Linked DNA regions of Drosophila melanogaster. The protein of the gene in region 2 interacts with the protein of the main gene of each other region in a pairwise test. Each region holds a gene or a part of one and is shown on either strand. Other genes may lie near its edges.

Region 1 (6,536 bases), on a different chromosome or scaffold from region 2:
TTTATTAAACGTTTACTATAATTACCTTGAACCTCCTTGGACCTGTCACATTTAAGGGTCGCGCATCCTTTTACCAGCTGACCGGCGTAGAAAGTACCATGTTTATTATTATCGAAGCTGATCTCACACGTAACAACCATTTTTCCCAAGATTAAATGTCCGAGCGCGAAAAAGCTAAAACCGATGTTATGGGGCAACTCACTGCGACTAATTTAAGTACAAAACTTCTGGACTGCTTGCGGTGCGACCGCGTCGTTAGATAAGCGATAAGAACCATAACTTGGACCCGATGTCGGATTCGGATTTCACCGGGAACGATACGGAATCGTAGTCCAAACTGTATAAGAGTCGATAATAAGTTCCCTTGCGAACTACTCGGACGTTCACTTGGGGTTTTCGGTCTGTTATCAGAGTTGGTTGTCGAGACCTTGGCACTGGGGAAGTTATTGCCAGCATTCATCGAGGGGTTTTCAAGAGGAAAGAAAAGCGTCGTGTTTGAAAATCTTAGACTACATATGGTAATATATATATAATTTCGAATAATTTCAAAAATCGCTCCACCCTGTACCAGTCTTGGAATTGTGATAAAATGTTTATTATAAAGTGTTAGGTGGAACTTTTGCCTTGTGTGCAAATGCTTTATCGCCCTTACATTTCTAGTATAGTATTTATTTTCGTTCTCATAGCCACGTTCCCTTGTCTTTGTCCACATCCATGGCCGGATTGACAAAGGCCCTCTCTGCCATATAATTCTGCGTATAATCCGTCGGCGGCGGAGCTGAGGGACTGGGTATGTCGAAGACCGGATAGAGTGGCTTATAAGCACCGCCATCCAAACTGAGAGTATTGGGCGGTACTGGTTCCGGGTCGTCTAAGTCGTCTGACCTCGTTGCAGCCGTGCTGCGCATGTGAACAGCCTCCTGATAGTTGGGCGGAGCTAAAAACACCAACAAAAAACATAAATTGATACTGTAATTAGTTTATGGATTCTAGTAAACTCACGAATGGATGCGTCGACAGACCATGGACTTGAAGAGTTTGGAGCAGTGGCTACTTCTTCAACAGCCAGCTCATTAACATTCAGCTGGGGGACGAAACCCCGAGGCTGGATTGGTACGTGTTGTGCAAGAGGGACACTGCCAATGGTCAGCGGAATGGTGACAACCTCGTTGTTGTGGCAACCCTTCACCCTGGCCTCCACCTCCACTTGGTAGGCGATCTGGATGATGCCGCACAGGTTGAAGCAGGTGGGCGGAGTGGCCGGGACTCTGATCTCATAGCTAAATAGCTTCTTGCAGTTCCTTTGCACAGCGTCCCCCTTGAAGGTGTTTACCACCAACCTCTCGGACGTGGTATTGGGCATCGAAGGTGGCTTACTGTGGTATGTCACCAGCATCACAAAACTAATGAGGAGCTGCTCCACCGGAATGTGGCTATCGTTTGTGACCAGCACGCTAAGGGGAACATTCTGGCCAGGTACAAATCCTGTCTGTGGAACGGTCAGTTGGAGGGCCAACGGATCTGATCGGCAAGGCCAGCAGCAGTAGGTCTTCGAGGTTTCACTGTGGGCGGGTACCTACATAACATATTCAATTAGCTTAGGTTCTAACAGATATGTATTCGTGTTTGATTTTGATTCGTACCCTTAGCAGTGGACTATCGAAGTTCAAGTCCATCACTTTTAGCACCGTAAAGCATCGGGTATAGCTCTGATCGAATTTCCAGGGCCTGACGAGGGTTACGGTTGCCATGTACCGCACCCTGCCGTGTGATCCCTCGAAGGACGAAGGACATTCGGTGGGAATCAGGCACACGAAGTTGTAAGTGTGAATTCCCGCTTCAATGGATACTTGGCCTGCAGATATGATTAGCAATTAGATGGACTTTCTTGCCTAAATGGAGCTTTACGTACTGCTCAGATTGGATCCCACCAAAAATGTTTTGGACGCTATGTAATCCTCGCGGCCGCAGAATGTGCGACGTCTCCTCCTTCTGTTTGTGGTCACCCTTTCAATCCAACGCGTCTCTGCGTATCCGGTTATATTCAAGGTGATGGCTGCGGAGAAGAAGTTGATAAGGTATTTCTTAGAAAGGTATTTTAGCTCAATGTACTGTAACGAATTGAATTTATTCTTTAATTGTTTTTTAAGTCATCTAAACGATGATTATGGTTTTGACAAATTAAAATCTTTTAATCATACAGAATTACTGTTATGCATTCACATGAAATATCCATAAAAACTTACAAAAGCAATCGTTGTATATATGAAAAAGTCAAATATGTATCCACCCCTATTTAATATTAATTAATGCGAAACCCATTGATTATTTAAAAATAATTTAATCTTATCGAACGCAAATATTATCATTGATGCATTTGTGTATGTTCGCCAAACACCTTCATGTAGACATTAGATTTCGCACGTGTGGTTCTCTACTCACTATAAATATATGAGTCACCGGACTAAATCTTCGTTTAAAAACATTCAACCGCACTTTTAAGTTGGACGATAAGATAAGAATGACTCATGGCATATTGTCAAATTCCAAAGGTATCTCAAATCAACTGCCCCTCACCTTTTACCAACTTCATCTTGTCCAGCTTCAACGTAACTCTGCCAGTGAGTACCTCGCCCCCAAAGTAGGTGCCATGGGGATTGTTATCGAAATCAATTTCACAGGTAACAGTCATAATTGTAATTGTAACCGCAATCGTGTATTTATGGGCCGATCCTACTCTGATGCCGCTGCAAACACGACTGATTTGATTTTAATGCCAATGTTCAGTTATTTACTCCCTAAATTCCGAGAACTCCAGACAGAGTGGAAGGAACCGCTTTTCGCGACGATAGCACCCACATGCCCACTTGGCTGCCAGAAATCAACTGAGAATAAAACAAACATTGCGGTTGTTCTATATTGGTAGCGATGGCCAGAAAAACTTTATCTTATCGCTGTCACAATTTTGAATTATACATTTTGCCAAATGCAGTCGAGCAGCAAATAGCCCTCATATCTCCGGAAAAATCCCAAGGACTTCTTGACAAGCAGGCGTGGGATGGGATGTCCAATGGTTCTCAAATGTAGAATAGTTTTTTCGCCCGCCTTCATTTCTTTTCCTCTTTATCCAAAGCCGCTTCCTTGCTCTTTTCTACAGTTGAAGTAGACAAATCGAAGACAGGATACAACGGCTTGTAAGACTTCTCTTGCGCATTTCCCGACTCTGACTGTTTCTCAGAGTCACTATGGGAATGCATGGCCTCGGCGTAGTTCGGTGGCGCTATAAAAATCGTATGGTTACATAATTGATATGGACATATTAAAACAAGGACAGCTTACATAGTGTGGATCCTTCTGACCAGGGATATGGGGGAGCAGCTGGAGCAAAAGCTCCCTCTCCCTCAATCAAAGTCAAAGCTCTTTGTTCTGGAGCCTCTGGCCCAGAGCTCTGCGGCGTATATTGCACCGCTGACGGCGATATCGGAACACCACAAATAGTCACCGGCATTATCAGAGTTCCATTGATATGCATGCCCTTCACCTTGGCCACAACCTCGATCTGGTATCCGATCTTGATAATGCGGCACAGATGGAAACATGAAGGCGGAGTAGAGGGTATCATCAGTTGGAAGTCGTACATTTTCCGGGAGTTCCTCAAAACTCCATCTGCCTTTAACTTGGCCACGGACTTGCGCTCGCACTTGGAACCTGAACTTAGATCACTGTAGTAGGTGATCATCATTGATAGTCCAACCTTCACTTCGTGCACCCGAATTTTGCTTTCGTTACCAATCAGAACATTTGCGGGTACCGTCTGACCAGGCACAAAGCCAGTCTGCGGCAAATTCAGCTCCAGCGTTAGAGGATCCGATCGGAAGGGCCAGACCCCAAAGGTTTTCTCAGTCTTGGCCTGCACGGGAACCTTAAAAGCGATTACATTGTTATAGCAGACCTCCAAAATTTCGTTTCATGTTATATTTACCTGTGAAACAGAGTTATAGGTGTTTATGTCCATCACTTGAATAACGGTGAAAGCTCTTGAGAAAATGCTGTCGTACTTCCACGGCTGAATGATATTGACATCCACCATATAACGTATACGACCATGAGTCCCCTCGAACGATGAGGGACAATTGATTGGAATTGGACAAGCAAAATTGTAGGACCTAGTTCCCGGCTCCAAAGCCATTTCTTTGCGAATACATAAAATGAAATTTTGACCAATTTCAATAACAAATTATCACTCAATATTTTACCAGGGCTAATTTCGGAACCCAAAAGATAAACTTTACTGGAAAGGTATTTCTCAAATCCATTGTACGACTCTGAAGTGGACTTGTTATTCGAATCAGTCTTGCTTTCGGTCCAATGGGTCTCTGCATAACCTTTTAGCTTAAGTCGAATTGCTTAATATGTAAAATGTTGCGAGAATTATATGAAGTATCGCAATCACAACTGAGTACTTACCTTTGATTTGAATCGCCTTATCAGTGCTCAGAGTCACTTGACCAGCAACCATTTGGCCCGCGTAAAAAACCCCTTGCGTGTTGTTGTGAAAAAGAATTTGGCAAATTATTCCCATGGTTTTTTATGGTTAAAGCACAAGTTTTAATGAATTTAAGTCTGTCGTTAATTGTTAAGATGTTTTCCCTTCAATTGCCGCAATCAAACTGAACTAAAAAGTTTCTTACCACTTATTTTGTGCAACGGAGAGCTTTTGGTAATTTATCTTATCAGTACACCCATAAATCTATTTATTGGTAAACCCAAAAACCCCCTACAATTTTTTTATACAATAAATAGATCATTCGTAACCAGCTAACATGAGAACTGAATTATCAGGTCCAAAAACAGCTGATACTTATATTTGTGGTGTAAAAACAAGTGCCCCCAAATGAGTTGAGGCTCTCGCATCTGAAGATAGCAATTTCACTCAAATAAATATATTAACTCATCGATAAGATATCGCACAACTCAGCAAATATTGCTCACTGAGGTCGACGAAAAGTTCCCGCAGTTTGCGTTCAACCACAGGGTAATTGTCATGTCTGTTGTATTTCGATTACTTATTAATTATTTACAGAGTGGGTACATTCATTTTTAAGCCCTTCTAAAGCCAAGTGCTTTTTTCTACACCTTCATTGACATAGCCGCCATCAGTCTTGGGTTCATTTGCTCTCAAAGTCATTTCGTCCACTTGGTTTGACAAATCAAAGACTGCGTATAAGGGTGAAAACACAATTGTTTCAGCTTTCCTCTCTTGTGATCCTTTTACACCTCTTTTCTGAGACTTTTTCTTCGATTTCGAGAACTTGTGCGGATCCGGGGAGATGTGTTTAGCCTCAGCATAACTCGGCGGTGCTAAAATAAATAAGTGATTCCTTGAATTATGATCTTTAAATTCGAATATGGAGTTTTGTATGAATTTCCTTAAAGCTCCTATTTTACTCACCAATTGAAGGATCCGCAGCCCAAGGATTGGGGCTTCCGAGTGCTTCTCCATTCTGTTCGCTGCCAATTAAAATCAAAGCCTTCGCATCTAGCTGCTGGGGTGGCAGAACTTCACCCCAAGTCCTTGGTTCTTTTTGGAGTTGCTTCGTTAGCGGGACACTTCCAATAGTTATGGGCATGTGAAGGGACTGGCCGCCATGACAACCTTTAACTCTGGCCTCCGCTTCCACCTGATAGCCGATCTGAATGATGCTGCATAGATTAAAGCAGGTTGGCGGAGTTGGCGGCACCTTAAGATCGAAGGTAAACTGCTGCCGGCATTTGGTCGACACACCTCCGCCTGTTTTCAGGACCATCTCAAAACGGTCCTTGTTGGTGTCCGCGGACGGGGGTTGACTGTAGTAAATCACCACCATAGTCAGTTTTACGGTTATGTCCTCCACGGCTACACCACTGTCATTGGAGACCATCACCTCCACCGGCACGATCTGTCCTGGCACAAAGCCACTCTGTGGAACAGAAAGTCGCATACTGAGTGGCGACGAGCGGCAGGGAAAACAGCAGAAAGTTCGCTGGGACTCCACTTGACTAGGTACCTAAAATTTATAAAATATAAAAATATAAAATTTTATACTTGACCATGGTACAACCAAAGACACTAGAATTAGACATTATTCTAATGTCTTTGGTACAACACATGGTACAGTGGACTATTCCATAGTGTGTGGAGAGACTAAGAAACATACCCTCAGCATTAGGCTTTCGGAGTTCAGGTCCATCACTTTGATCACAGTGAAGCATCGATTAAAGTTCAGATCGAACTTCCACGGACGCACGAACCTCACGTTCACCAGATAACGTATCCGACCTAGTGTCCCCTCGAAAGAAGAGGGACATGTGATGGGCAACTGACAGGCGAATCTATACGAGCTGGTGCCAGGCTCAATAAGCACCTCTGAAATGGAGCTTTGATTTCATTATCTCTAGATTTATGGTGATTTATCATCTTCGAACATACCTATGCTGGAACTAGACCCGTGCAGATAAGCCCTAGTGGCCAAGTAGTCCACATGTCCGTTGAATGA
Region 2 (8,294 bases):
AGTAAGTAAATTAGTTGTGCATCGCGTGCCACTTAGTAATATGATTCCTTGTTTACCCAGAGCTGCTGCAGCCGCCAAAGCCGTAGCAGCCATGACATCATCCAGCTTAGCCGGCATGGTGCCACCTGCTGCTCTGGCTAGTATTCTTCCCGCTGCCCTGCCTGTTGCCCCCCGATTACCGACTCCTGAGATCCACTCGCCGCTGACACCCAGCAGCAACGAGAACTCGTCATCAGCGATGGATCAGGCCATGGCCGCCACGTTAGCGGCTATAGAGGTGCCACAACAAAATGGTAAATATTATAAACTCTGAAAATATACAGCCCAAGTCACACGACTTTCTTTGCAGCTAAGAAGGACGACAAGTCAGAGAGCGCTGTGGTGTTTAAGGATAAACGCGAGGCCATCGAGTCCTTTAAAGAGCTGCTGCGGGACCGCAATGTGCCATCAAATGCGAACTGGGACCAGTGTGTGAAAATCATATCAAAGGATCCGCGATACGCAGCCTTCAAAAATCTGAACGAGCGCAAGCAAACATTCAATGCCTACAAGACGCAGAAGATTAAGGACGAGCGCGAGGAGTCTCGCTTAAAAGCCAAGAAGGCAAAAGAGGACTTGGAGCAGTTCCTTATGTCCAGCGATAAGATGAACTCGCAGATGAAATATTTTCGTTGTGAAGAAGTATTTGCCGGAACGCGAACATGGACCGCGGTGCCGGAACCGGATCGGCGAGATATATACGAGGACTGTATATTTAATTTAGCGAAGCGAGAGAAGGAAGAAGCGCGGTTGCTGAAAAAACGAAACATGAAGGTTCTGGGCGAGCTGCTAGAGTCGATGACTTCAATCAATCATGCCACCACCTGGTCAGAGGCTCAGGTTATGCTATTGGACAACGTAGCATTTAAGAATGATGTGACTCTGCTCGGAATGGACAAGGAGGACGCCCTAATTGTCTTCGAGGAGCACATTCGCACCTTGGAAAAGGAGGAGGACGAGGAACGTGAGCGGGAAAAGAAGCGCATGAAGCGACAGCAGCGCAAAAACAGGGACTCCTTTCTTGCGCTGCTCGACTCCCTGCATGAAGAGGGAAAGCTCACTTCCATGTCGCTGTGGGTGGAGCTGTATCCCATCATATCAGCCGATTTGCGATTCTCCGCTATGCTCGGCCAGAGCGGGTCTACACCCCTGGATCTTTTCAAGTTCTATGTGGAAAACCTGAAAGCCCGCTTCCATGATGAGAAAAAAATAATAAGGGAGATCCTCAAGGAAAAGGCATTTGTTGTCCAAGCGAAGACATCCTTCGAGGACTTTGCCACGGTCGTGTGTGAAGATAAGCGGTCAGCCAGCCTGGACGCGGGAAATGTGAAGCTCACATACAACTCCCTGCTGGAAAAGGTAACTATGGAGTGGGAAAAAAACCTTATATCAATAAAACTCATTTGTGTATTTATAATCTACAGGCCGAGGCCATTGAAAAGGAACGGATGAAAGAGGAGGTGCGAAGGTTGCGGAAACTAGAAAATGAAATTAAAAACGAATGGCTGGAGGCGAACGTCTCAGTGGCCGAACCCTATGAGAGCGCCAAGAAGCTGGTAGAACACCTTGAAGCATTTGCCCTTTATGAAAAAGAAATCGGTGTGGAGAAGATCTGGGAGGACTTTGTTAAGGAAAGCGAAGATGCGTGCAGCCATCATCACTCGCGATCACGAAAATCTAAGAAAAACAAGAAGCACAAAAAACGAGTACGGTCCGTCTCGAGATCAGACATCGAGAATGAGCATATAGAAGTGGAGAAGTCCAAGCGAAGGCGCTCCAAGACACGATCGGTTAGTATGCTAAACATAACATTAAATGCAACTTGTAAGTTAAATAATAACGTCACGCACATACAGCATTCCCTGACCTCAATTGGCAGCATCGAGAGCGAAAAATTGCTGAAGAAGAAAAAGAAGCGCAAGAACAAACTGCGAGGTGTACGTAGCAAGTCGGCCCAGTCCTTGGACAACTATACTATCTAACATGGCTTACATTTCAGTCCTCCTGCGAATCGGATGTTCCAGGCATTCAATCGCCGGGAACTCAAGCTCTACTTCAGAACGACTCAAACTCGCACTCACCCGCAAAGAAAAAGAAGAAGGAGAAGCGAGCTAAGAAGGACAAGCGACACAACAGGCACAATCGATCCGGCACGCCCCTTAGTCCTGCCCAGTCCGTCGAGTCGTCTGGATCGCGAAACGAGGAGCTGACGTTAAGTGACGGCGAGCTGGAATCGAAGCGAGCGGCTCTTCTAGCCCAACTCAGCGAGCAGCTCGACGAGTGACCAGCTGACAGGCGTTGAGTCAAAGCCGACATCGACATCGTGTGGCACTCTCTAGCTCTAGCTTAAGGAGGATCGGGAGAGGTAGCTAGCCCTGGACTCAGTTGCTGGACAAGTTCTCTTTTCAGTCCTTGCCTTCCACTGCACTCTGCTTCGTTTGGTTTAGATACTGTCCTGGTCCCAGCACAAACCACACAGCGAACCACAATTGTAATTTCTTAGTCTCAATAAGTTTCAATGTATAAATGAGAATTAAACCTAACGAGTCAAATTTTAAGTTATACGCAAATGATTTTGATTCTGCATCAAAATAAACAAATTACGATAGAAATTACAAGATAAGATCTTTTGTGTTAACTTCACTTTTTGCAGAACCTATTTTAAATCCTCGCATTTAAATTGAATGACGCGAACTTATTGTAGTTTTTACTATGTTTAATGACATCCTTGACAATCGCACAAATGGAAAAGTTGTATTTCTTGTTGTCAAACTAAAACTTGAACTCCTTGTACTTCTTTGTGGTCTTGGCCGGATCCGTTTGCTGTCGCTTGCGCTTCGATTTCTGCCGCGCCACATGTTCGGCCAACATGTCTGACAGATCCTCCTTTTGCAGGTGATTCTGCTGCTCACGCATTTGTTGCTCATAACGCTGGGCCATTGCGTCATTGTCCAAGTCCAATTCGCTAGGATCGAGAGCCAGTTCCACAATGCCCTCGCGATCTGTGGTTGATCGAACTGGGGGCTGTTTGTTAGCCCCACTGCCACTGACGTCGTAGACATGGGTTGATCCCATCATGGAAGCCCCTATGCGGTCGGTGCGCTTCTCAGGCAGCACTTGATACAGAACAGGAGTTTCGTTGCTAGGAGAAGTTGGAATAATGGGCTTAATCGTGATGTTATTTTAAAAATATTAGTTCACTTACTCCTCCATCTCGGCTTCAATTTTCTTCTTGCGAAGCTCAATGTTCTCGGGGGTTTCCATGCCAGCTGGAACACTGGTGAGTCCAGAGGGTGTTACTAGTCCCTCTACTGGCGTTACCAGGCCAGTCTCATCCTGCTGATCGCCCAAGTCCTCGCCATCTTCCTCTTCCTCCTCGGATGATTCTTCTGACTCCGATTCCAGTTCGCCCCATTGGTTACGTTCAATGTCAGCTTCGTCTACGCCATTCTATAAAAAAACAATGACATTAAAACAAGAAGTGCTACGCGAATGTTGCCACTCACATCAAGGTCCAATATGTTGGTTCCAAATACGTCACCGTACAGCGGTTTTCCGTTCTCATCCACTGGCGGCTTGCCCCAACCTCCGGCATGATAACCGAACGAGGTTCCGTCTGGGATCGGAGCATTCAGGCCAGGAATTTTAAGATTCGGATACGAGGGCGGCGGCCCGTAGCGCTGTTGAGCAATGAGCCATGGTGGCGGAATCTTGTGTGAGTTGGGTCCCACGGGCATTCCCAGAGCAATGCGCAACTCCTCGGAGAGATCTCCGGGCTTCTTTTCCTTAAGGCGTGTCTCAAACTCCTTGCCCTCGTAGTAGAGGTCGCCATGAATGGTCATGCGGGGCTTGGTCTGCCACTTGAAGAAGGCATCGTGAAGTTTCTGGTAGTCAATGTCAATTTTGCCCATCTTGGGACGGACGCGTTCACGCATCTTGGCCTTGAGTGTCTTGGCGTCCTCTCGTTCCTGCAACGATTCGCGCATCTCCATGATGCCCGTCTTTTTGATGAAGGCGGGGAGATCGAACGGAGGCTTCTCAATACCCCTTTTGCCCTGCAGATATTTTCGCTTGAAGCACCAATGCCGCGGCACTTGTACTGTGTTCCTATAGGCTTTCAGTTGAACCAGTAGTTTGGGATCTCTCGCTGTGACATCGTGCATCTCCACTACGTCAGGTCGAGAGACCAGTTGTTTCAGTTCTGCCACACTCAAACGGGTCAGTTTCTTAAGTTTCCGCTTGGACAGCTTCTCCTTGTCTTCCTTGCGCTCTTCGTCATCATCGCCGTCATCGTCCTCGTCCTCGAGCTGTTTGTCTGTAGCCTTTTTGTCCCTGGGATGGGACTCAGAATCGTGCGAAGATTTGTCCTTCTCCACAGGCTTTGGTTTGTTTTCCAGCTTGAAGATTTCGAACACACGATAAAACTGGCGGTACATTGGCGCCAAATCGGCAATGGTTATCTTTTCGGGCACATATCTGAAAGGGATAAGAGTTTATTAGTGTGGTTCCTCGGAACGAGCTGCTATGACTTACTCAATGGTCACATTTTCATCATTGGCCTCGCCAGCCTTTTTGTCCGTATCTTTCTCATCACTACGATCCTTCCTGCGCTTGCTGCGACTCTCTTTGCGTTTGTCCTTCTTTTCCTTTTCGGCAACCTGTTCGTCCTCGCTGCCATGGGCTTTTGTCTCCGAGTCCTTGGCCTCCGGTTCGTTCTCCTCCGCTTGGGCCAACTGCTGCTGCCGTGCGAACTCAATCTGGTGGCGTATCTTCCTGTTCTGCTTCTTTCGCTTCTTCTTCTTTTTGTTACGCTCCGCCTTGCTCTGCTTGCCGGTCTTTTGGCTGGCACTCCCGTTCACCTGGTTATCCGCATCCTCCTCGCTGTCCTCGCCCACATCCGCTTCGTCGCCGTCCTGGGTAGCACCCCCACTGCCACCCTGCGAATCGGCGTCCACCGTGAACTCGGCTGCCCTTTGATCCTTCAAAGCCAGAACGTCCTCCAAGGCCTTGGGCAGGACCAGTTCTCCGGGCGTTTTTTCGGCATCAACAGCATCTTCGGAGGCATCGCCGTCGCCATTGGCATTACCATTGCCGTTCTCATTTCCATTGGCCGCCGCACTTTCGTGCTGCTGCTGGTCGAAGCGAATGGACATGAGCGGCGTGGGTTGGCCGGGCTGGAAGGATTGGCATTCAATAGATGTCTTGCCGATTGGGTTTCGCAGCAAACTCACCTCGTTGTTCAACTGGTCCGCCATAAATTAAATTAATCTTTAAAAACCCAAACCGAGCCGAAATTTTTTTATAAACCACAATTCTAGTGATGCGCGACAAGATATTTTTGTACCACCGAGACATATCGATATATTCGATATGAAAATGCGAGACCCTAAATCAAGCTGGCAACGCAAAGGACAGGGCGATCTTAGTACGAAAAGCGTGGTTTTTGCCGACAGCTGATTTAAGGAGGTAAATATTAAAATATTTCATAGATTACCAGTTTAACAATGCTAATTTGTCCATTTCAGTACGATATTTAACAAGCAGTATCTGCTAAAATCAAAACAGTTCAACACCCTACCTTCTAAGCATGTTCAAATTTAATTTTGATGTGAAGGCGGAATCCTCGGAAGATCCAGAGGCCGTTAAAAATGATATTTTTAGCAAGCAGGAAAATTCAGAAGAACGTGAGTCGGGTATCACAAAGGATATAGATTGGTACAATTCGGAGAAAGTACAACCACTGGATAACCTAATTTCGGCAATGGATTTCTATGAGCTTAACGCCAAGGAAATGGAGGTGGGAAAGATGACGATAAAACATCTTGTGGCCGGGTTTCTGCTGGAGGATTTAAAGGAGCAATCCCACTTGGTAAACCTGGATCTCAGGAAGTCTGAGGAAAATCATTCAGATCTGATTTCCGGTGTCTACGAGGGCGGTGCTAAAATATGGGAATGCACTGAAGATCTTCTACTATATCTATCCGAAAAGTACGAGGACTCATTCTGGAAGGAGAAAAGAGTCCTAGATTTGGGATGTGGCTGCGGATTGCTGGGTATATATGCTATGAAACACGGCGCACGGGTGGATTTTCAGGACTACGTAAGCAAACAATAAGTCTTGAAATAGTTTGGTTGCAATCATATATTTTCAGAACAAAGATGTGCTGGAATACATAACATATCCAAATATCCTGCTAAATTTGGACGACTCTTTATCTGAAGATGAAAAGCTGAAATTTTTAGACAACAGTACAACCTTATATTCTGGAGATTGGTCTCATTTTGCTGAACTATCAAGGGATGTGGCGAAATACGATCTAATACTTACCTCTGAGACTATATACAATATTGCAAATCAGCAAAAGCTCTTGGATACCTTTGCTGGTCGCTTAAAATCCGATGGAGTCATTTTGGTTGCCGCAAAATCTCATTATTTTGGAGTTGGTGGCGGCCTGGAACAGTTTTCAGAGAACATTAGGCTGGGAAATGTTTTCCAAAGTGAGAGTGTTTGGCAGGCAGACGAAAACTTAAAAAGAGGAATCTTGCAATTGAAATTTAAATAAAATATATTTTGGAATTATTTATAACACAATTCTTAAACTTTGTAATAATGATAAGAGATCTAAGTTCAAAACATAGCGGTAGCATAAAACAAGTTGGCAGCCCACTTTACACGGGGCACCCTGTAAGGGAGGGACGTTCGTCAGCTGTGTTGTTGTAGTTGTCGTTATTCCGGAGAAATTGTAAGCAAATTCGTTGTACTCCAATAAAACAATTAAAATGGACCCACCCGGATCTGATAATTACTTTTGAAACATTTCTCCACTCGGCCAGTAGGGCGTGCACTAATCTAATCTAAACTGTTTCCGTACACGCTGCTCGGAACTCATTAAAAAACGTTCGCCGCGCCATTTCCTGTCCAAATCGATGTTCTTGATGACAGCCGGCACCTCCAATTTTCTTTCTGCAGCCTGGAGATCAGAGGCTGAGGAGTCCAAGAGTAAGGAGAACGGGAGTCTCTGCTGCTGCGAGTACGTGGCTGAGGACAGTCGAGAGCGATCCCACATCCTAGGATGCTGTTGTAACTGCGTGGACTTCGACTTAGTTTGCACAAGGTAGGATACATAAATGAAAGGCCGTCTACAATTAAAATTAAATTTACCACAGACTTGTCACCTGCCGAGCCATTGATCGAAGGAACATCGACGGCATGCTCATCGCCTTCCAGGATAGACTGCGCTTGCCATGGCGCGGAGGAGCCAAGCGAATCTCGCCCGCAGCCGTTGCTCCCGCCTTCATTGTCCCCCTCATGCTGGGATTGGCCACTCTGAACTCAAAGACCGCCATAGTGCTGATGCTCACGCTGGTGGGCTTCACCATCTGGGGCATGGAGCTGGCTAAGCGGACCGCCACGCGGACAAACTTCTTTTTGAGCTGGCTGGTCTTCTCGGTGTTCTACATGATCATCATATTTGAGTTTCAGGTTCCTCTGCTGGAGCTGGCTCCGGAGGAGAACTACGCGTTAATGTTCTTCTCCTGTGCCGCTTTGTACTGCCTCTATTCCGCCAAGGCACTGTCGCCCTTGAATCTTGTTTCTGCTCAATACGGAACCACGCCCAAGGATGAGCTGCCTGGGATCGCCGAGGCTTCGAGTGGCGAGGAGCAGGCAGAGGCCCAGACCACACTCCAGATGGAGAGTGTGCTGAGTTTGGATGATGACGAGGTGGGGGATATGGACACTGCTGAGCGATCTGGCTTGATGCACGGTCAGCCCAATATCTGCGAGATCTGCCGGAAGGTTACTCCAAGGCGGGCATACCACTGTCCCGTCTGCGGAACCTGCGTGAAGAGGCGCGATCATCACAGCTACTGGCTAAACTGCTGCATTGGCGAGCGGAACTACGTGTGGTACATTGTTGGACTGGCCCTGTCGGAGATCGCTCTGCTGCTCGGCGCAAACTTGACCCTCACTTCCATTTGCCATCCGTTTATGGTGGTGCGACCGCTTGGTTATCCAGTTCTTTTGCCCGACGACTGCAGTGAGGTGTTCGAAGGCTTCGAGTGAGTAGATACTTTGTTTCTATTTCCAATTAACGTTTCTTATGCACACTCTGTTTCTAGCCTCGGAATCTCCTTTGTGGTGGCTTGCTACGCTCTGCTCATTTCTTCCTACATAGCCTTTATACTCGCTAGACAGGCTTACTTGTGGTGGAAGGGATCCACCTTGCACGAATACAAGCGCACCTCCAACGCCG
Region 3 (5,679 bases), on a different chromosome or scaffold from region 2:
GACGCATACAAAAAAACCAAACCAGTTCAGAATGTTTTTATGTTATTATTTTTTTTTATATATACATCTTTTTTAAGGTAAACAAAAAAGAAAGAAACAAATCGAAAACCAAAAGAAATTTAAATAAATGCGAGAAAATTGATGCGTAACGATTCGCTTGTACATCGTTATTGATTAAAACTATTACTATTACTATTACTATTACTATATGCCTCACAGTTTTTTTTTTGTTGTTGTTTGTCTTGCTTAACCAAAAAAAAAAAAAACAAAAGCAAAAGCAAAGAGACGAAGGAGAAAATAACGTTAAATATAACCATTTAAACGTAAAGCTAAAGTTAAGTTATTTTACCAAACGAAATGGAAGTTAGCACAGTGGGACTAAACCAAAATCGCTTAGGCAAGAATTCAATAGACGAAGAGTAAAAAATGAATAGTAGTCAAAACTATTGTAAATACTGTACTTGTATGTTTCCCATATTAATAAATTTATGCTAAACAAATTACAAGACCAAAAAACAAACGTGTTTCGAAAAAAAGCGGGACGGCATCATTTTGGGAATGCTAAAAAAGAATCCTAGTTTCATTTCAATAAATGGAAAATCATTCCTCAGTTTATTTTGAACTACAAGCTAGTTTCTATACATAACTTCAAAGGATTGGACATTAAATTAGAGGGAGCCCTTTAAAAATACTTAGTTAAATTACAAAAAAAAATTATCGCTTTCTTCGTATGTTCCATTCAAATTAAACTTACAGACTTGTTAATGTAAACGTTTTATGTTTATTGAAAATAGTTCCGTTTAAAAAAAAATCAAGAATCGAGAGTCAATTTATATCAAATCATTTCGTTCATTTCAAAATTCTATTCAAAGTTATTTAATTTCGTCTTGTAAGAATTCGAAGATTGTATTGCGACTACTAAATGGAAATACAATGATGATCTAAATGTCTCCCAGTGGTTTCCCGGTTGTTAAATGCATATTAGAAAGAAGAATGGAAATCTTAACATATCCCAGAGCAGGCTTCATTGATGAATCCTATTGATGTTTATTTCTCGTCTCGTCCAAATTGGTATACACTACACGCTAGACTTAGTACTGGTAGCCGTCGGGTTGATAGGGCCGTGCGTAGGGCGTGGGTGGGAAGGGCACGGGCGGCGGACGCCAGTTGGTGGGCGGTGGTCTGGGCGGAGGAGCAGGCATGCCGGGCGGTGCCCATGCATTTGGTTGCATCATGCGAGGCGGCGGCGGAATGCCCATTGCTGGCGGCAGCGGCGGCTGTCCGCCGGTCATCGGTGGCAACGGAGGCGGCGGTATCGTAGCTGGGAACGGTGCAGGCTGGGGAACGGGCGGCGGCGGTGCTAGCATGCCCATATTGTTATTCGAAACGGGCACCACCGGCGGCGGCGGCGCCATCATGGGTGGCGGCATCATCTGGCCCGGCATCTGGGCCGGGATCTGGCCCGGCATCTGGGGCATCATGGTTTGCACCGGTGCATCGGCGAACAATTGATGCGGCCGGTCTGCATGGGTCGATGGATTCTGGGCGGCCAACAGGCGCTCCGCAGCCGAACCGTGACGCTCGCCCTTGTGATCCTTCTTGAAGGCATAGGACACGGAAATGGGACGGTTGCACAGGTACTGGCCGTTCATGGCGTCCATGGCCGCATCGCTGGCCTCGAAGCTGGCAAAGTTGATGAACGCAAAGCTCTTAGACTTGCCCGTCTCTGGGTCTCGCATGATCTTCGGCGTCTGCAGTATAACGCCGAAGGCGGAGAACGTATCGTACAGCAGCTTCTCGTCCACTTCCACGTCTAGGTTGCCAATGAAGATGTTGGCGCCGACGTCCAGGTTCTTCTGATGCGCCGACGCCTTGTTCACGCGAATGGGCTTGCCGTAAAGCTTGATCATGTTCATGATCTTTATTCCATAGTCGGCGTCTTCCTCGCTGAGGAACTCGACGAATCCATAGCCCTGGTGCATTTGGGTGACACGATCCTTGGGCATGTGTACGTTCACTGCAAGCATGACGATTAGGGAGCTGCTAGGCACTATACATGTGTGTCCGGGACTTACCCACTGGTCCTGCCTGGACAAACAGCTCCCAAAGCAGCGTTTCCGACACCTTGTCGTCAAGACCGCCGGCATAGATGGTGGCATCTGTGGAAGGAACGGAAAAGGCGGGTTAAAGCGTCTCCCAAGTGGTGCAAATGTGGAGTGGAGGTCAAACCCACCTTGGTTGCGTTCAGCAATTGGACCTGCCGCCATTTCGGAGCTATTTTTATAAACAAAACCAAAAACTAATTTTCGGCGTTTTCAACATGCAAAAATGCTCGCAACACAACCCTGAATATCGAAACAGCCTATCGATACCATGAATCGATATATATTCCACGATTTCGTTTTTATTGGCAATCGAAATTGATATCGAAATCGAATCAAATCGAACGGATATTAGAAAAAATACTAAATATAGACGAAGCAGAATAATTAAATATAATTTCAATAGGTTAAAATATTCACCTCTATTTTTTGAAAATAAAATGAAATATTTTAATAATAATATTTTAATTAAATGATAAACAGTTTTTCGGTTAATTGGAGTAACCGTATTTAAATTACTCAGGCGATATTTCGCCTCCCATGCCGTGCCATCCCTAATATCGATAGTTCGATTGGCCGCGCTGGCCAAGAACCCAACTCTAATTTTTATGTAATGTCACTTTGTTGTCGTTTGTTACAAGAAGCAAGGAAAATTCGTGCTAGAAACCAAAGAACCAAGACCCCAATATCCGTGCGCTGTGATGTGATAATCAACTGTGTGTAAATTATGAATTGTCATCAGATTTTGAGCGGCGCTTGCAATGCAGGCGACCGGTGCTTCGCCATTGGCTCCGTGGAAGGAATACCATTTACAGTAAGCACAGAGCCATCCCAATCCGAATCCGGATCGAATTGGGTGAAAATCGGTGGCGGAATGTGCACCATTATCGGCCCAACCAGCCGGACACGCCCCCCAACCCCCCCACGCACACTTGGTTCAAAAGGTTGAACCGTTTCCAATTGGAAACGGGGCATCATCATCACCATCGTCGTCATTCCAACAAGAACCGATCGGAGCACGTCTTTAATGTTTTTATTTACATATTTGCGTGTGTGTGGTGTGCGTGTGTGCGGTGTGTGTGAATGTGTGTTGAATTTTATATCGTTTTTTTTTGCCACACTTGGTGGTCAATTAAAAAATCAAATGCAAATGATGAGATAGAGAACTTTTCGTGTTTGCTGGCTGGCGCTGTGCAAAAATTCGATAACAACAAAGTGTGCAGCTCGAGTGTGTGTGTGTGTATGTTGTGTGGCACAACAAATACAACACAATGTTTGTTTTCACCTGCATTTACATACCTGGCCAGCAATTAATTACATTTTTATTTTTTTAAGGTCAAGTGCTGGCAGTAAACAAGCCGCACGCACACACACACACACACATGCGCCAGTTGCAGTGAGAGTGTGTGCTTGAAAGTATATACGCATGTATATATATATAAGTGCGAGTATGTGTGTGTGTATACCCTTCGATTGGTCAGGTGGCCTTTGATGCCCTAATTTCGCAGCTTGCAGGCTGCCCACCTTCCCCTTCCCACGAACCCTTTCTCTATGGCAGCACCCCCCGCCCCGCAACCCCTTTCGCCAACCCACGTCAATGGCAAATTGGAATTATAAACGGCCATAATAAAAAAACGTGAGCACGCATTTATAATGTGCCTTATTCGATCCCTATACTATATACTACCAAATACTCTTAGCAATCTGGCCATTTTCGTGTCTAAAACCTTTAACGGTAACAGGAAAAAGTTGAAGAGCTCACTATAAACTTCGCTATGTCAACTTCGAGTTTATAAACATTACACCCATTGAGACATGTGTACTATATGTTTACTCAGAATGTTTATCCGATGTAGAGAACAAGGTCTGTGTTTTCCTGCAAAAACCCAAGGAAGCATAATTAACTACTGTGCACATTTTGCCATTCTAATGAGAGGCCCCACGGGGCGTATGTGTACATTATATATATATTCTATATTCTACTATATTCTATTCTGTAATCAGCACCGCCGTTGACACAGTCCCCCGTTCACAGACCGACCACCAACCACCCAACACCCACCCACTGCCCACCGCCTTGCGCCATATCATTTGCCATCATTTCAATTTGTTTAATTTCGAGTGTTTGCATATGTGTGGATGTATGTGTGTATGCATATATTTATTTAGTATATGATCGGCACGAACACACTCCCCTGGCGCCACCTAGCGTTTGGAAGGGGAAACCAAAAATAATAAACTCATTAAAACCGCATTTAAAGTCAAATTTTAATAGTATAGCAATACTACAATAGGATACCGTAAAAAAATCACTGTTTATTTTCAGCAGGTAACAAAGTTTTATATAAAGTAATCTTATCCGCGGGAACACTAATGGGTTGGTAAGCGAAAAGTTCGGAAAACCCTCCATTGAAAAGTATCATCGGTGTGTTTACTTAATGGGTAATATTCTCAGTTAAACGCATAAACCCATCATAAGCTGACATTTAAAGCAATGGGAAAACCGGAAAGCAAAAAGCTAAATATAAACACGACAGAAAAGCAGAGTAGTTGAACCTTTTTATGTCAAAAAGTTAGCAGGTGTGTAGTGTGTAGTGACGAAGTTGTTAATACCCTTGTTTTTATGAAATGATGTTTTTATTCATTAACTAGCTAAATAAGGCTCACATTCCAATATCGCGATAAGCCATTGCAAACAGATTCTCTGTTGATATTCCCCATTTATCGCTATTGTAACTAAACGGGGTATCTGTAATCTCCCGCATCAATGAGCCAATTATAAAGATAAAGCCTGCTGACTCAACCCTTTACACCCGCACTAATGATCCTTTGCCACAGATCGTCATGCGGTAATGTTTTAGAGATAATTAACATGAATAGTGTTTCCACTATAAATAGTGTACCCCCTCCCTAGCCCACTCGAACAGGGTATTCAAATTTCTGGCCACGATAATGAGCATATCAGCGACAGCTCAACAAATAAATCAAACACACTTTAGCTAACCAGGTAACCAAACATGATGTGGCAAGAGCCTTGTCATCAGCCAGCCTGATAAGCCAGTTAACTGGACAGTTGGGGTATTGTTATCGATATAAAGCTATATACCCACCCGCCCTATATACACATAGCCACTCAAAAACAAATAACTGAGAAAACACATACCGATCGTATAACGCTTAGATTAACTGCAGTACTCACAAAATCCCCATTTCGCCCCTCCTATTATCAGGCCTACGCCGCCGGCTGCAATGTGGTCATCCTGGCAAGCACTTTCGAGCGCGTCCAGATCATTCCGGGCGCCAACCATGGCTATGTCAAGATATCCGCCCTGGACTGCAGCACCGATACCGGAAAAATAGCAGCAGCCTATGAGAATAAGATATGCATTTTTGAGCCCACGCCGGTGATTGAGTCGAGCAAACACAATACCCACTTTCTGGATTACAGGTAAGCTAGCGATGGTATTAAGAAGCCCAAAGACATACTAACTTATTTTTTCATACCCCCATAGATGGGTGCAAACGGGCTCCTTCACCAGCCACTCGAACGTGGTGACCCTGTCCTGGAATCTGGAGG

What was found. The genes of interacting proteins can lie anywhere in the genome.
Region 1: the proteins of Sf3b2 (region 2) and CG18745 interact in a two-hybrid assay, tested with the Drosophila melanogaster proteins (one large-scale study listed by BioGRID).
Region 3: the proteins of Sf3b2 (region 2) and Spx interact in a two-hybrid assay, tested with the Drosophila melanogaster proteins (one large-scale study listed by BioGRID).

What each region holds. Positions count from the first base shown.
Region 1 is NT_033777.3:7,783,262-7,789,797, forward strand, and holds CG18745 (uncharacterized protein), read right to left. Parts: upstream 2,859-6,536; 5' UTR 2,693-2,858; coding exon 2,578-2,692; intron 2,057-2,577; coding exon 1,913-2,056; intron 1,856-1,912; coding exon 1,644-1,855; intron 1,577-1,643; coding exon 1,003-1,576; intron 938-1,002; coding exon 681-937; 3' UTR 582-680; downstream 1-581. Other genes in the region: CG18747 (uncharacterized protein), read right to left, coding at 26-140; CG18748 (uncharacterized protein), read right to left, coding at 3,108-3,280, 3,340-3,922, 3,983-4,191, 4,257-4,406, 4,468-4,582; CG18746 (uncharacterized protein), read right to left, coding at 5,111-5,361, 5,453-6,047, 6,198-6,406, 6,470-6,536.
Region 2 is NT_033779.5:3,023,794-3,032,087, forward strand, and holds Sf3b2 (splicing factor 3b subunit 2), read right to left. Parts: upstream 5,376-8,294; 5' UTR 5,295-5,375; coding exon 5,271-5,294; intron 5,214-5,270; coding exon 4,573-5,213; intron 4,516-4,572; coding exon 3,546-4,515; intron 3,490-3,545; coding exon 3,245-3,489; intron 3,182-3,244; coding exon 2,812-3,181; 3' UTR 2,459-2,811; downstream 1-2,458. Other genes in the region: Prp40 (pre-mRNA processing factor 40), read left to right, coding at 1-1, 61-293, 350-1,398, 1,464-1,829, 1,896-1,976, 2,039-2,323; CG17219 (uncharacterized protein), read left to right, coding at 5,627-6,139, 6,192-6,602; GABPI (beta4GalNAcTB pilot), read left to right, coding at 6,967-7,154, 7,207-8,100, 8,161-8,294.
Region 3 is NC_004354.4:6,252,499-6,258,177, reverse strand, and holds Spx (spliceosomal protein on the X), read right to left. Parts: upstream 2,357-5,679; 5' UTR 2,268-2,356; coding exon 2,234-2,267; intron 2,160-2,233; coding exon 2,076-2,159; intron 2,018-2,075; coding exon 1,092-2,017; 3' UTR 582-1,091; downstream 1-581. Other genes in the region: Rbcn-3A (Rabconnectin-3A), read left to right, coding at 2,830-2,916, 5,333-5,550, 5,615-5,679.